Macaca fascicularis: one gene and its partners. The protein of the gene in region 1 binds, or shares a complex with, the protein of each later gene. Links are inferred from orthologs where the notes say so. Each region holds a gene or a part of one and is shown in the gene's direction. Other genes may lie near its edges.

The links. The genes of interacting proteins can lie anywhere in the genome.
Region 2: the proteins of SMAD7 (region 1) and YAP1 are in contact, whole or in part, in an NMR structure (PDB 2LTV), measured with the Homo sapiens proteins. The link is inferred for Macaca fascicularis from reciprocal best matches to the Homo sapiens genes SMAD7 and YAP1. Residues at the interface, in NP_005895.1 of Homo sapiens: Ser206, Pro207, Pro208, Pro209, Pro210, Tyr211, Tyr214, Pro215, Met216, Asp217; in NP_001123617.1 of Homo sapiens: Thr241, Gln242, Asp243, Tyr247, Ile249, Asn250, His251, Lys254, Thr255, Thr256, Ser257, Trp258.
Region 3: the proteins of SMAD7 (region 1) and SMURF2 are in contact, whole or in part, in an NMR structure (PDB 2LTZ), measured with the Homo sapiens proteins. The link is inferred for Macaca fascicularis from reciprocal best matches to the Homo sapiens genes SMAD7 and SMURF2. Residues at the interface, in NP_005895.1 of Homo sapiens: Glu203, Leu204, Glu205, Ser206, Pro207, Pro208, Pro209, Tyr211, Ser212, Arg213, Tyr214, Pro215, Met216, Asp217; in NP_073576.1 of Homo sapiens: Glu304, Arg306, Asn307, Thr308, Ala309, Thr310, Arg312, Tyr314, Val316, Asp317, His318, Arg321, Thr322, Thr323, Gln324, Phe325, Thr326.

What each region holds. Positions count from the first base shown.
Region 1 is NC_088392.1:40,812,433-40,817,102, forward strand, and holds the start of SMAD7 (mothers against decapentaplegic homolog 7), read left to right. Parts: upstream 1-1,604; 5' UTR 1,605-2,094; coding exon 2,095-2,707; intron 2,708-3,139; exon of another isoform or gene 3,140-3,252; intron 3,253-4,041; coding exon 4,042-4,095; intron 4,096-4,670. UniProt on the Homo sapiens protein: Antagonist of signaling by TGF-beta (transforming growth factor) type 1 receptor superfamily members; has been shown to inhibit TGF-beta (Transforming growth factor) and activin signaling by associating with their receptors thus preventing SMAD2 access.
Region 2 is NC_088388.1:101,116,907-101,121,423, forward strand, and holds the start of YAP1 (transcriptional coactivator YAP1), read left to right. Parts: upstream 1-1,432; coding exon 1,433-1,753; intron 1,754-2,131; exon of another isoform or gene 2,132-2,598; intron 2,599-4,517. Other genes in the region: uncharacterized protein, read right to left, coding at 499-1,148, 1,206-1,434. UniProt on the Homo sapiens protein: Transcriptional regulator with dual roles as a coactivator and corepressor. Critical downstream regulatory target in the Hippo signaling pathway, crucial for organ size control and tumor suppression by restricting proliferation and promoting apoptosis.
Region 3 is NC_088390.1:71,250,799-71,255,016, reverse strand, and holds the start of SMURF2 (E3 ubiquitin-protein ligase SMURF2), read left to right. Parts: upstream 1-1,126; 5' UTR 1,127-1,589; coding exon 1,590-1,641; intron 1,642-4,218. UniProt on the Homo sapiens protein: E3 ubiquitin-protein ligase which accepts ubiquitin from an E2 ubiquitin-conjugating enzyme in the form of a thioester and then directly transfers the ubiquitin to targeted substrates.

The sequences.
Region 1 (4,670 bases):
CGAAATCGGGCCACCGACCGGCTCTCTAAGCTCCAAAACTCGCAGCGAAGCCCGCTCGGTGCTCCCTGCTTTTCCAATTTCTCCATGGCTCCGGCCGGGGCTCAATCGATTCTGGGAGCTTCTCTGCCCCCCACCTCTCTCTCTCCTCCGTCGGTACCCCATCTACAGCCCCGGGAGGGGGTGGCGGTGGCGGGGGGTTGGGGGGAGAAATAGCTTTTAGAAACCCGATCTGTTGTTTGCGAAACACAATCGCTTTTTTTTTTTTTTTTTAAAGCGACAGGGTGTCTAGACGGCCACGTGACGAGGCCGGAGCCGGGCGCGCCACTGCGCAGTGGAACCAGCCGAGCAGAGGGCCGGAGGGGGGGTGCGGGGGGGCGGGGAGGAGGCGGCGGCGGCGGCGGCTGGGGGCGGGGGAGGGAAGGGGGAGGAAGGGGGAGGGAAGGGGGCGGGGGCGGGGGCGGGAGGCCTTGCGGGAGGCGGCGAGGTCTGGGCACACTCGCTTGCTGCTCGGCGCACTGAAGATCTTGTCCCCGAGCCGCGCCAGCCGAGCCAGCCGGGCGCCGTGCTCGGTCCGCTCGCCGCGCGGGAGAGAGCTGCCCGAGACAGAGCCAGTCCGCCGCCGCCGAGCCGCCGAACGCCCGGCCCCTGAGCCCCAGAGTGCGGCGCGGCGAGCCCCTGGCGGCGGCAGAAGGACCAGAGCGCCAGGAGAGGGCGGACCGGGGACAAGGAGGCTCCCGGGCGCGACGAGGAGAGTCTCGGAGGAGGAGGCGCCGAGAGGACACCGGGGCCTCCTGCCGCCGCTGCTGGGGCCAGGCGAGCAGCCCATGCGGGGACCCTCGGCGGGCAGCCGCGGCCAGGGGAAGGGACACCGGCGGCCCCCGCACTAGCAAGCAGCTTGTGCCCAGGGGGGGCGAGAACGCGCGACCCGCCTGGGGCCCTCCGCCGCCGCCGCCGCCGCGCCGCCCTCCCCCGCGCTGTCAGCCCCGCCGGGCTCAGCCGCCGCCGCAGCATCTTCTGCCCCTGCGCCCCCGCCAGCCTCGAGGAAGTCCCCGCCGAGGACCTGGGCCCCCAGGAGCGCAGGAGGAAAGACCAGAGACTCCCCTAAACCACCCAGATGCGCAGGATTGAAGCGGTCTAGCCAAAGCTTTCTGTGGATTAAAAAAATACACGATTTTTTTTTTTTTGGCAGAAGGAGAGGAAGACCAGCGGGGCTTTGCAAGGAAAAAAGGGGGGGATGTAACTCGTGGATACATTTTTCCACCCCTCAAACATCTTGTTATACTTTGTAAACATTTTCTTTTTTTAAACCCCAGCTCCAGCCGGACGCCCCCAGACCTCAGAGGTTCGAGGAGGTGGTGTTTTTCATTTGGGGCTTTGCATATTTGGTTGTTAGGTTTTGCGAGAGCCTTCTTATTTCGCCAGACATCTCATGCGGGGTGAAGTCCACTCGGCCCCCTCCCCTGAGTCTTCGTGTGCACGGAATTCGAGGAGATCCGGTTACTAAGGATATAGAGAAAAAAAATAAATTGCGTGCTTGCTTTTTTTTTTTTTAATTGCCTGCTTCTCCCCACCCCCAAATTAAGTTGCTTAGCAAGGGGGAAAGAGGCTTTTTCCTTCTTCCAGCAGCCCAGCCGAACGCCTTTCGCTTTTTTGCCTCCGCGGACCTTCCATGTAGGAAGCCGAGGCTGGCGAGCCCGACATTCGGGAGCCACTGCGGGGGGGCCTCTTTTTGGGGAGGCGCCGACGGGGGCAGGCTCGGCCGTCCCCAGGGAAGCGGCGGCCGGGTTCCTCCGGGGCGCGCCGGGGCCGGAGAGCCGCGCAGGGCGCGGGCCGCGCGGGGTGGGGCAGCCGGAGCGCAGGCCCCCGATCCCCGGCGGGCGCCCCCGGGCCCCCGCGCGCGCCCCGGCCTCCGGGAGACTGGCGCATGCCACGGAGCGCCCCACGGGCCGCCGCCGCTCCTGCCCGGGCCCCTGCTGCTGCTGCTGTCGCCTGCGCCTGCTGCCCCAACTCGGCGCCCGACTTCTTCATGGTGTGCGGAGGTCATGTTCGCTCCTTAGCCGCCAAACGACTTTTCTCCTCGCCTCCTCGCCCCGCATGTTCAGGACCAAACGATCTGCGCTCGTCCGGCGTCTCTGGAGGAGCCGTGCGCCCGGCGGCGAGGACGAGGAGGAGGGCGCGGGGGGAGGTGGAGGAGGCGGCGAGCTGCGGGGAGAAGGGGCGACGGACAGCGGAGCGCATGGGGCCGGTGGCGGCGGCCCGGGCAGGGCTGGATGCTGCCTGGGCAAGGCGGTGCGAGGTGCCAAAGGTCACCACCATCCCCACCCGCCAGCCGCGGGCGCCGGCGCGGCCGGGGGCGCCGAAGCGGATCTGAAGGCGCTCACGCACTCGGTGCTCAAGAAACTGAAGGAGCGGCAGCTGGAGCTGCTGCTCCAGGCCGTGGAGTCCCGCGGCGGGACGCGCACCGCGTGCCTCCTGCTGCCCGGCCGCCTGGACTGCAGGCTGGGCCCGGGGGCGCCCGCCAGCGCGCAGCCTGCGCAGCCGCCCTCGTCCTACTCGCTCCCCCTCCTGCTGTGCAAAGTGTTCAGGTGGCCGGATCTCAGGCATTCCTCGGAAGTCAAGAGGCTGTGTTGCTGTGAATCTTACGGGAAGATCAACCCCGAGCTGGTGTGCTGCAACCCCCATCACCTTAGCCGACTCTGCGAACTAGGTGAGAAGTTGTCCCCTTACCCCCAGCATTTTCCGGCGCGCCAGTGCTGGAAGAAAAGCCCTTAGGGCAGTGCGTTTGTGCAGCCACCCCTCCAGGGGGAGTGTGCATCCCCTCCTGGGAGGAGACTGGGGGCCGAAAGTAGAGAAGGGACACGGGGAAACTCAAAGGGCATTCCCTGGGGTTTCCCTTCCAGGATTTCTCCTGTGTTGCCCCGAAGGGGTCTATGGGCACTGCTCCTGCACACAGTTTGCGGTTAAAAATTAGACGCCTTCATTTCCGGATCAACAAGGGGGTGCAGAGGGAGATGGGGGGGTCACGCCTCCCCGCACCCGGAAAGGCGTTGAGGTGTGTGACCGAGTTGGATTTGGTCCAGGCCCGCCAAGGAAGGCTGGGAGAAGCATGCTATAAAAAGGCTGGAAGGTCTCCGTATTTACTCCTTCAGTAAATAAGGAGAATCACGTCGAACACAAGTGGCCCAGACACTGTCGTGGCCGCGCAGCTTTGGAGTTTTGGGGCAAAGAGAGTTGGATGGAAGGCCGAACTGGGTATCTGTCTCATTTCAACTCTGCCAGCCCCAGGGTGCAGAGGAACAAACAGCCAGGAGAAGTTGGGTGTCCCCTACTTTTTCCTTCCTTCCGCACAGATAAGTCTATAGATTAGTGGGGCCCTGCGCCTCGGTGACGTTGTCGCCCCTTACTGCGCTGGGGCCAGGGCTTCTCGGCTGAGACCCTGAAACTTCTTCCCTTTTATCCTGTCAGCTTTCTCCATTCCTTCCTTTTCTGTATGTCTCTGTACACGGAGTGTGATGTGAGGGTTCACCCCGGGCGACCGCAGATCCCCCAAGTTCACCAGCACGCTTGGGCTGCATCTCCCGAGTGCGCTGGGAATGGGGAGCCCCGTGTCCCTCGCGCGGGTGCCCAGCGGACCGGCGGGGGCGGAGGTGAATTGCACCCCTGGGGGGCGGGCCAGGGCGGGGAACCGAGGTTGCTGGGAGCTAGGTCTGGAGTCCGAGAACGGGGAGGGGGTATGGTCGCCCCCCGCCTGTGAACTGTGAAGTGCGCGGCTCCGGCTGAGCCGGTGGTTTCCAGCCGGGCCAGCCGAGCGCGGCGGCGGCGGCCGCAGACGTGGAGGAGCGGAGCGCCGAGGCTGGCGCCAGGCGGCCTCTTTTGTTTATCTGACAGCTAAATATCAAGGCAATCACCGCCTCGCGGCCCTGCCTCCAACCCCCACAGCTAAGACAAACAGTTGGGCTAAAAGAATGCTTCTGTTATCATAAGTTTCTATCTCTCTTCTCATGGCTGGGCCTTTATTTTCTCTTGCTTTTTTAATTTCAGAGTCTCCCCCCCCTCCTTACTCCAGATACCCGATGGATTTTCTCAAACCAACTGGTGAGTAGATGATTTTTAAAATATCCTTCCTATCTTAAGTTAGAAATAGAGCCTCTAGAACCTGGCTTTTTGTGTGTAGGCAAAGGCTTGGAGAGGTGCTGGACTTGCTTCACTTCACGTTGGTTCTAGGTTTCCTCTGTTGGAAGTTTGGTGAATTTTTCTGTTGTGACTGGGTTTTTGTTTTGTGTTTTTGCAAAGATGTTCCCTTGATATGCTTTACATTTTGTTCCTTTTTCCTGTATTTGCGCTCTGTAGCCGGTGGGCTCAGCTTTGATACGTGGAAGCTTTAGTCCAGAAAGAAGTGTCTTGGGAACCAAATAGGACTGGTTGATGGGGAAAACTTGGAGACTTCGTGAGTGCCAGGAGCATCAACGGCAATAATGGAAAGCGTGATTAGATAGATGGGAAGGCGGTTTAAAAAGGTTCAAAGAAGACTTTGGTCTAGAGTAGACACTGGAACGTTTCAGAAGTATAGGCAGTGAAAGGAGGGTAGGTTCCCCCTGCCCCAGTCACCTGCAAGTCAGTCCTCTCCCGGGGTTTTCTCAGTATTCTCCATAGGGGCCGTCAAAGTTTTG
Region 2 (4,517 bases), on another chromosome or scaffold:
GTACATCAGGTGCCTGGGGTGACCTACTTGCCCATTCATTTCTTATTCAGTCCACATTAACGGAGTCCACCCTTGGGCCAGGCACAGGGATAGCAGGGGTAGGCACCCAGCTCCCTGAGGATGAAAGGCAGGTACAGAGGAATGAATGCTTGTACCTGAAGAAGCACTGATTTTTTTGGGTTGAGGCTTCCAGTGACTATGTTGCAAACTCGAGTACTAAAACAGTTGATGTGATTTCACTATTTAGAAAATGTAGTGTTTTTGTTTCTTTTACTAAGTTACACTGACTCACAGACCTGGTCTCAAAGCTTCAATTACAGTAACCGTTTACCCTTTCAAGTGAGTTTTCGCACACTAACAGATAAGTGAAACAGAATTACAAAATAAAGTTAATGCTGAAAACAATGGACCTTTATTAACATCAGCGCCGGCTCACCGTATCTATTTTAACTCCCATCTATCCTGGCGGCTTTAAGCCCGCACTGGCGCTCCGCTCGGTCAAGCCGGGGTAACGCGGGGAGGAGGAGGTGGGTTCGCACATCCTCTCTCCACTTCTTTCGGCCTTCGTCCTTTCGCAAGTCCAGGCGAGCTGGAAGCGCCTTTCCCGAGCACGGGCCGGGAAAAGGAGCCGAGCGGGGCGGAAGGACTTTCTGGGGCCAAGGGCGGCCGCGTTCTCCGCAGAGACCACACTTCGGCCTCGGAATGGACCCAGCGTTTGTGGTTCGCGGCGTAGAACACGGGGCACGCTCCGGGCCCCTGCCGGGCTGAGCGCGGGCGAAGGGCGGACCGGACCAGGGCGAGCGGGTCACGTGCGACCGGGAGAGGCGCGGAGGGCTGGGAGTGTGCAGGAATGTAGCAACTTGCAGCGAAAAGTTTCCCTGCGCTGCCGGCCGGGCCGCGGTGCGGGCGGGCGCGCAGAGGAAGGAAGAGCCGAGAGGAGGCGGGGCCGCGGCGGCGCGGGCGGGCGCTTCTCACAACTTTAGTTTTGGCGTCTGAGGCGAGTTTCTGTCTCAGTCGGGCGCAGCCGCCGCCAGGGAAAAGAAAGGGAGGAAGGAAGGAACAAGAAAAGGAAATAAAAGAGAAAGGGGGAGGAGGGGAAAGGCAACGAGCTGTCCGGCCTCCGTCAAGGGAGTTGGAGGGAAAAAGTTCTCAGGCGCCGCAGGTCCGAGTCCCTCGCAGCCCCTCCCGAGGCGCAGCCGCCAGACCAGTGGAGCCGGGGCGCAGGGCGGGGGCGGAGGCGCCGGGGCGGGGGATGCGGGGCCGCGGCGCAGCCCCCCGGCCCTGAGAGCGAGGAGAGCGTCGCTCCCGCCGCCCAGCACCGCCCGGCCCGCAGCCGTCGCCGCTTCTCCACCTCGGCCTGTGGAGCCGGGGCGTCCGGGCGGAGCCCTCGCCCGCCTGGTTTAGGGGGTGCGCGTCGGGGGAGGCAGAAGCCATGGATCCCGGGCAGCAGCCGCCGCCTCAACCGGCCCCCCAGGGCCAAGGGCAGCCGCCTGCGCAGCCCCCCCAGGGGCAGGGCCCGCCGTCCGGACCCGGGCAGCCAGCACCCGCGGCGACCCAGGCGGCGCCGCAGGCACCCCCCGCCGGGCATCAGATCGTGCACGTCCGCGGGGACTCGGAGACCGACCTGGAGGCGCTCTTCAACGCCGTCATGAACCCCAAGACGGCTAACGTGCCCCAGACCGTGCCTATGAGGCTCCGGAAGCTGCCCGACTCCTTCTTCAAGCCGCCGGAGCCCAAATCCCACTCCCGACAGGTAACCTTGTCGCCCCTCTCCCCGCTTCCCCGTCGGGCGGGCCTCAGACCGGGGGGGCGCTCGGGAGCCGCGGCCGCCAGCTCTGGCCAGGGGAGGGGGTTGCGGGAGCTCTAGCTGGGGTGGGGGTCCCGCGGCGAAGTGGAGGAACTGGAGTCGTCCGCTCGGCCGCGGTGACCAGCTCCCCACTCCTCCCAGAGTCCGGGGCTGAGATTTGTTTTTCCTTTCGGAGTTTCTTTCTGCGGTTGCGGCCCCGGGGGGCGTGCTTTCCCTCCTTCCTTTCTTTCTTCCCGGGGTTCCCGGGAGGTTGGCGGGAGTGGAGGAGGGGTGGGGAGGAAGGAAGGGGGTGGGGGAGAGCCGAGCCTGGGCCGCGGTGGGCTTGCACAATGCGCGCGCCTCCGCGCGCTCCGCACCTTCGCTCCCGCCGGGGCCGGGCCGGGAAAGGGGGAGGGGGGCCTCTGGCATTTGTGTGTGGGTGAGTTGCCAGCGGCGGCCGAGTTTGTGAAGTTGAGCCCTGGGCCCCTTTCCTTTGCGGCCTCTCGGTCCACTTCAGTCTCCTGGGGGAGTCAAATAATTGTTCTCTTGTTTTCCAGTGTTGATTAGAGGTGGGGGTAGAACCGGTCCATTTAGTTTTTTGCTCTTTCTTTCCCTCCCCCCTACCCATTTCCCCTCCCCCTCTGCCTCCCCCTCCCGTAAGCATTTATTTTCCTCGCGGCTTAGGCGATTTCTGAATACAGGTTTCGGGCTTCCCCTGCCCAGACTTTCCTGGAAGTTGTTTATGGAGTTCTTTCACCCCTGCGCTTCCCTTGTGTCTTGGAACTTGGGTCGGCTCGCTCTTATCAAACTTAGTAGGTTGCGTGTTGGTTTCCCGATCGTAGGCTATTATTTACAGTCGGCTGAAAAGCTTTTGAATTAGCCACATCTGTACGTTGCGCAGGAACTGAGTTGCGCTTTACAGTACCGAGGTTTTAACACAAGCCTTTGATAATACACTGCGGGTTGACTCATAGGCCAAGTCCTGCCTAGTTCAACTGTGATTAAAAGTTAATGTTTGGGAAGCGATGACTAATTCTAGGATCGCCATTGCTTTTTAATTCTTATTGCGGATATGAACATGGCTGCTTTTCCACATACACAACGTTCGATTATTTTGCCAGCTTGATTCAGCATAGAAGTGAAACTATTTATAATGAGAGTGTTAACATTCCGATAGGTCCCAGTGGTTTTGTTTAGTGTAGGGTTCTCTCTTTTTCCTTCTTTTCTTTTTTCTTCTTTTTTTTTTTTTTAAAGAACTTGCTTCAGGCTAAACTTCAGCATAGGAACTTTGCCCAAAAGTTAATAGGTTTTCCAAATACTGCAATGTAGTTAGCCTACTCGGGCTGTAACTTGAGTGGAAAGAAGAGTTACCGCCCCCACTCCCATCCTCTGTCCTATTTGCGGGCCTGTTGTATATTCTTCTGTCAGAGACCACAGGGTTTTGGAACTCAGAAAAACTCACTTAACCTGATGACAAAAACCCGGGTTAAGGAGGAGGAAGGAAGGAAAAACAATTTAGCTGCTTGCCTAAACAGTTCAATTTGTCAGAAATAGACTTAGGTATGCTTTTTTTCTTACCCCTGGAAGTTGGTTTATGGACTCATTGTAAGTAAATGTGTGTTGGCATGCACCCTGCAGACTACACGGTATTTTTTCAAAGTATACTACACATAGATTGGATCCCCCATTTTGTGACAAAGAGTCACAACTGGAAAGTGTACTTTTTCTTCTAGTAGGTAATTTTTACAAGAATTTATATCCAGCAGTTCTAAAATTCATAAACTATTACAGTTTTGCTTTTAATAAGTTTTTAACTAAGTGTTGCTCATCTGTAAATTGGACTTTTATTTCTGCTAGTGATTTTCTAAATCATACTTATTCTGATGGGACACTCAGAAAGGTCTATCACTTTAAGGCATTAATGACTCTACTGAGTCCTTCCGGTTTCCTTACCTTTGTGAATCTAGGAAATTCTAACTTTTTGATAATCAAACTCTTAATTCTAATTAGACACATTTTAAAAACTATGCAAGATTGTGAATAGTAGAATGTAGGTTGTGAATACTATTGTTCACAACACAAACTGGTGACTATAAGTTGTTTTATATACATCCATTTTTCTGTCTTGAAAACTATGTTACAAACGAGAAAACAGGCATATGGAAGTTAACATACTTGTTCAGTGTCACACTAGCCAGCTTAGACTGGAACTCAGATCTTTGGGGTCTGAATGCAGAATTTTTTCTGCTTGTATAGAGTTGTGAATGTCTGTGAGTTCTTAAGTTATAATTGGACTGATAACCTCATTATCTTCTACATACAAATATATAGTTGAGTTTTTTTCATCTTGTTCATTGTAGATGGCTTTTAAGAACATTTGGGCAGTTCAAATTTGTTGCTTTCATTAAAAATTGTGTAATTTGTTATGATTTCTTTATTGATGGCGTTTTATCATGGTGGGAAAAAATGACGAGGGCTTGTTTTTTCTTGGGCTTGACCTAGAAAAAAAAATTAATTACTTAAAACCTAGTAAAAAATGCATATTGTTTGCGTTGTGTTTATACTTAGAACATTTTAGAACTTGGAAAAGCACCCATAACTGCAGTGACTTTTTAAAAATTAGGTTTTAAAATTCACTATTATTTTTGGAATGTTTTATTCATTCAGTACTAGTTGCCCTTACATGTCTGGTGTGTAGTAGGTGGAAATTCATTAGATGGACTGCTCATCA
Region 3 (4,218 bases), on another chromosome or scaffold:
TGCATAAAAAACCATGCGGTTCCTGGACCATTATGCTGTTCCCTCATTCCCCTTTTGGTATTAATGGAATATAACAAAGAACATCTTCTGTACGATTATTTGTCAAGAATAGGGCCAGTGAGGTGGCTCAGGTCTGTAATCCCAGCACTTTGGGAGGCCGAGGCGGGCGGATCGCTTGACGTCAGGAGTTCGTGACCAGCCTGGGCAACATGGGAAAACCTAAATGTCTCTACTAAACATGTCTCTACTAAAAATACAAAAATTAGTGGGGCGTAGCGGTGCACACTTTTGGTCCCAGCTAGTCCAGAGGCTCAGGTGGGAGGATCACCTGAACCCGGGAAGTTGAGACTGCGGGGAGCCGTGATCGCACCACTGTAGTCCAGCCTGGATGACAGAGAGAGACCCTGTCCAAAAAAAGAAAAAATATTTCTAGCAGTACAGTTACAAGGTCAAAGGATAAGGCGCACATTTTTAAAAAAAAATTTCTCCTCCTGAGATAACGAAATACAGTAGTGTATTAACAACTCTTCACACATTACTCTCCAAGGTTTATCTTGTTAATCCTTTAAGACGTATCATCTCCCTATCCTTGGCTGCACCTGAAAAGAGCGGGAGTCGGCAGGTAACCCTATCTCCTCCACCAGGTGAGTTCCGGATGGAGGTGTCAACTACAAGACTAGGAGCAGAGCACTCCTGGGGTTTTGCTGGAACCATCGGCGTGGGAATGCGGTCTCTTCCCTCGTCCGAAAGACGCTAAGTTCCCGGGAGGCAGCGGACTCGGTTCTAACCTTCCTCGCCCCAGTCTCTAGGAGCGCCCTGCACGCAGTGGGCGTCTAATAAATGCAGTCGGCGCTGTTGGGACAAAAGCTCTCCCTTAAGTGGACCGGACACTAAATCCCTCCAGGTGTCACAGAGCTGCCGCGCCCGCCGCCACTTTGCTCCCTGCCTGCTCCCTCCCCGCGTTCCTCGTGGGACCCTCCGCGGCAACTTACACCCTTTCTGACAGCCGGTGCCCGCCCGGGGCACCCTGCGCGCGCCCGACGACCCCGCCCTGGCCCCGCCCCGCCCCGCTGGCCCCGCCCCGCCCGCCGGCCCCGCCTCCCGTCTCCTCCCCGCCCCCTGGAGCAGACGAGTGGCGGCGGCGGCCCGAGGTCCCGGGTCCCTCAGACAAGAGGGCGGGTGGAGGAGGAAGCGGCCGAGCCCAGAGTCCTGCTCCGGCGTCGCCGAGCACCGCCCGCCTCAGCCGACCAGCCCCGTCGGCTACTGGGCCTCGCCGAGACGAGAGGAAGGAAAGGCCGCTGCGCCCGCGAGGAGGCGGCGGGGGCGCGGGCGGAGGCGGCGCGGGCGGCCGCGGCTGCCGCTTTGTTGTGCGGCCCGGGCCGAGGAAGGAGAAGTGGGAGGAGGGGGGAGCTCGGCGTCCCGCTCCCTCCGCGGCTCATGGCGACGACGCTCGGCACATCCGGGACCCTCCGGCCGTGGCGGCCGCGGCGCCGGCTGCTCGGGCCCCAGCCCCGGCCGCTGTGGTGACTCCGCCGCGCCTCGCCGTCGCCCCCGTCCCCGTCCCGCCCGCCGCCCCCGCCGCCGGGGACATGTCTAACCCCGGAGGCCGGAGGAACGGGCCCGTCAAGCTGCGCCTGACAGGTGAGGGGGGGCGGCGGGCCGGGCTGGGCAGCCGCGGGGTGGGCGAGCTGGCGGGGGGTGCCTGTGGCCTTAGGAAGGGCCAGTGTCGCGATCAATGGTGAGTTGGGGGTCGGAGGAGTGGGAAGGCCTAGTTCAGGGAGAGTAATTGGAAAACCACTTGCTACGGCTTGGGCATTCTTTAAAAAGCCGAGGATGACTCGGGGCGGGGGGTGGGGGTGGTCTTTTGTGGAGGGGAGGATACACCGGTTCGCATCGCAGGCGGATTTCAGGTCGGAAAGTCTTGGTCAAGGAGCCCGACGCTGCCTCCCGGGTCTCGGGGAGCAGCCCCTGGGCTACCGCCCAGGTGGGATCGTGAAGGGGATGAAGAGCTCCCGTGGCGAGGATTATTGAATCCGGTTGCTGACTGCGCGCAGTAAACACTCCTTAAAGATGGAGCGCTTAACGGGAGGGTGTGCGTGTGTGTTCCCGGGTTGTTACCTTGCACACCCACTTATGCCCGCATGAAAAACCTTTACTCCCCGCCGCCGGCCACCGCTGCCGGGGCCACACACCTTGAACTCACGTCTCTCTGAGGAGAGGAGACAGGTTGACTTTTCCGGTGTGCCTGTCTGATCCGACGGCTCGGGCTCATTGTACACTGTGTTTTGGAAGTGTCTGATTGTAGGGTGGCATGTTTGGGGTTGTTCCTTGTAGGCCGCAGAACTCGTGTCTCACTTCTAACTCCCGACCTGCTTTAAAAACACACTTTTTTGGGGGGAGGGAGGGGGTACATTTCTAAGTATGTCCTCATACAAACTTTAGAGCAAACTTTCTGTTACTCTCCCCACCCTCCCCCTTCCTTTTTCTAAATGGAAAAGTATGTCCGGAGGGGTTGTCAGATAGAAGACTACACTTACAAAGTGTTTATGATTCCAGGTGCATGAAATCTTTAATATTACAGGTACGTTTTACTTACAGTGCCATTTTTGGTATTCTTACATGGACATGCCACCCCCGTTTTAGGAGCACTTGTATTTGGTTTGAAAAGGAATTGAAATCACGTCGTTATCCTACCTTCACCATTTACCCCTGATAAATTGTCCACGTTTATATTCGGGTGAGTGGTGAGAAAGATAATTTTCCGTAGAGGATTTGTGTGTGCGTGCACGTGTACGAATCAACTGTAATTATGTTTGCCCACACTAGACTTTGAGATTTATTTGGACTAATTTTGTAGTTGAATGCTTATGTGTCACATCTCAGTCCACTGGCTGAACTTGCTGGGTGAAACCTTGCAGTGAATTTGGTATTTGAGAATTTAGCTTGAATGTATGTTGGCTGCAATTTAAATAATATATTACCTTCATGACAGTTTTCCTTTCCCTAGGGAAAATTGCAAGGAATCATTAACTGAGTGGTTCTTAATGAAAAACCTGGATTGCAGGATACTTGTATTCCCCCTTCTCCCCCGCTCTCCCCCATTCAGTGTCCTTATATTGGGAGGAGACAATGGAAACCTTTATAGGGGATCTTTGTTGCTTTCGAGTTTATCTGTTGCTGTTGCTATCTGGAGTCAGTGATCGTGGAAAGAACATGTGATCCCAGGTGTGCAGAAAGCATCAGAAATTGGCTGTTTCCATTTACTTTCCTCTGGGCTATATAGATGAGGGAAAAAATAGGGATTTTGATTTTCTTCAAATAAAGTTAGTTGAGGTTTTTAGTATGACTCAGTAGATCTTAAAGTGTTTATCTGTGGTTTCCGTACTACCTATGATACGTTATAAAAATTTATAATTAAAGTTTGTTAAGAGGAAAGATTATGCTTATATTTTAGGGGAAGAGGGAATATTGAACTACATTTATAGTGATTTTGTTTCAGGTTTTTCTGAGGAGTTTTAAATACCCTGTGTCCTCTTAATAGTAAAAACAGTTTGAGGTACTCTGAGTTTCTTGCAACTATTTGTCTCTGAATCGTTTTCTCTCAAAATTTGACAAATATTAAAAACATTGTCCTTCCTTCTTTGGTTACAGTGGAGTCTCTTCTGTTTTGCCAGGAAAGTTAACATTTTTTTTTTCCATTTTTGTTCATCATTTACAAATTAGATGGTATAGATTTTAGCAAATAGATCTCAAGAGCTGGATTCAATTAGCAGCTTTTTAGGACATAAACATTAAAGGGTTAGATGGAAAAGATTGTTTTGACTGACTGGATAGATGACGGGGCTGTGTTTGATGTGCGTCCAGGAATTGGTCTGGAGCTGGTGCCCAACTTCTCAGTCCATCTTGAGAAGCCAAATAAAATATTTAACCTAGGCCTCATTTTGTTTAAAAAAAAAGTTGATTCTTTGTTAAGACCTTAAGAAATGTTTGGCGTACCTTTAGACTAAGTGTTTAACAGTTCATTTAGATCTGGGTTCCCTAATAGAGGAAAAAAAATCACTTAAAAAAGACAGATCTCACAGTGAATTTATATTTGGTTTACAATACCCTTGGGCTATAAGGTGTTTTAAAATTATTATTCTTTGCTTTAAGTTAATACCATATTAGTATTTTAAATTTATAGAGTACCTTTGATTTCAAGATGTTGTATAAACTTTA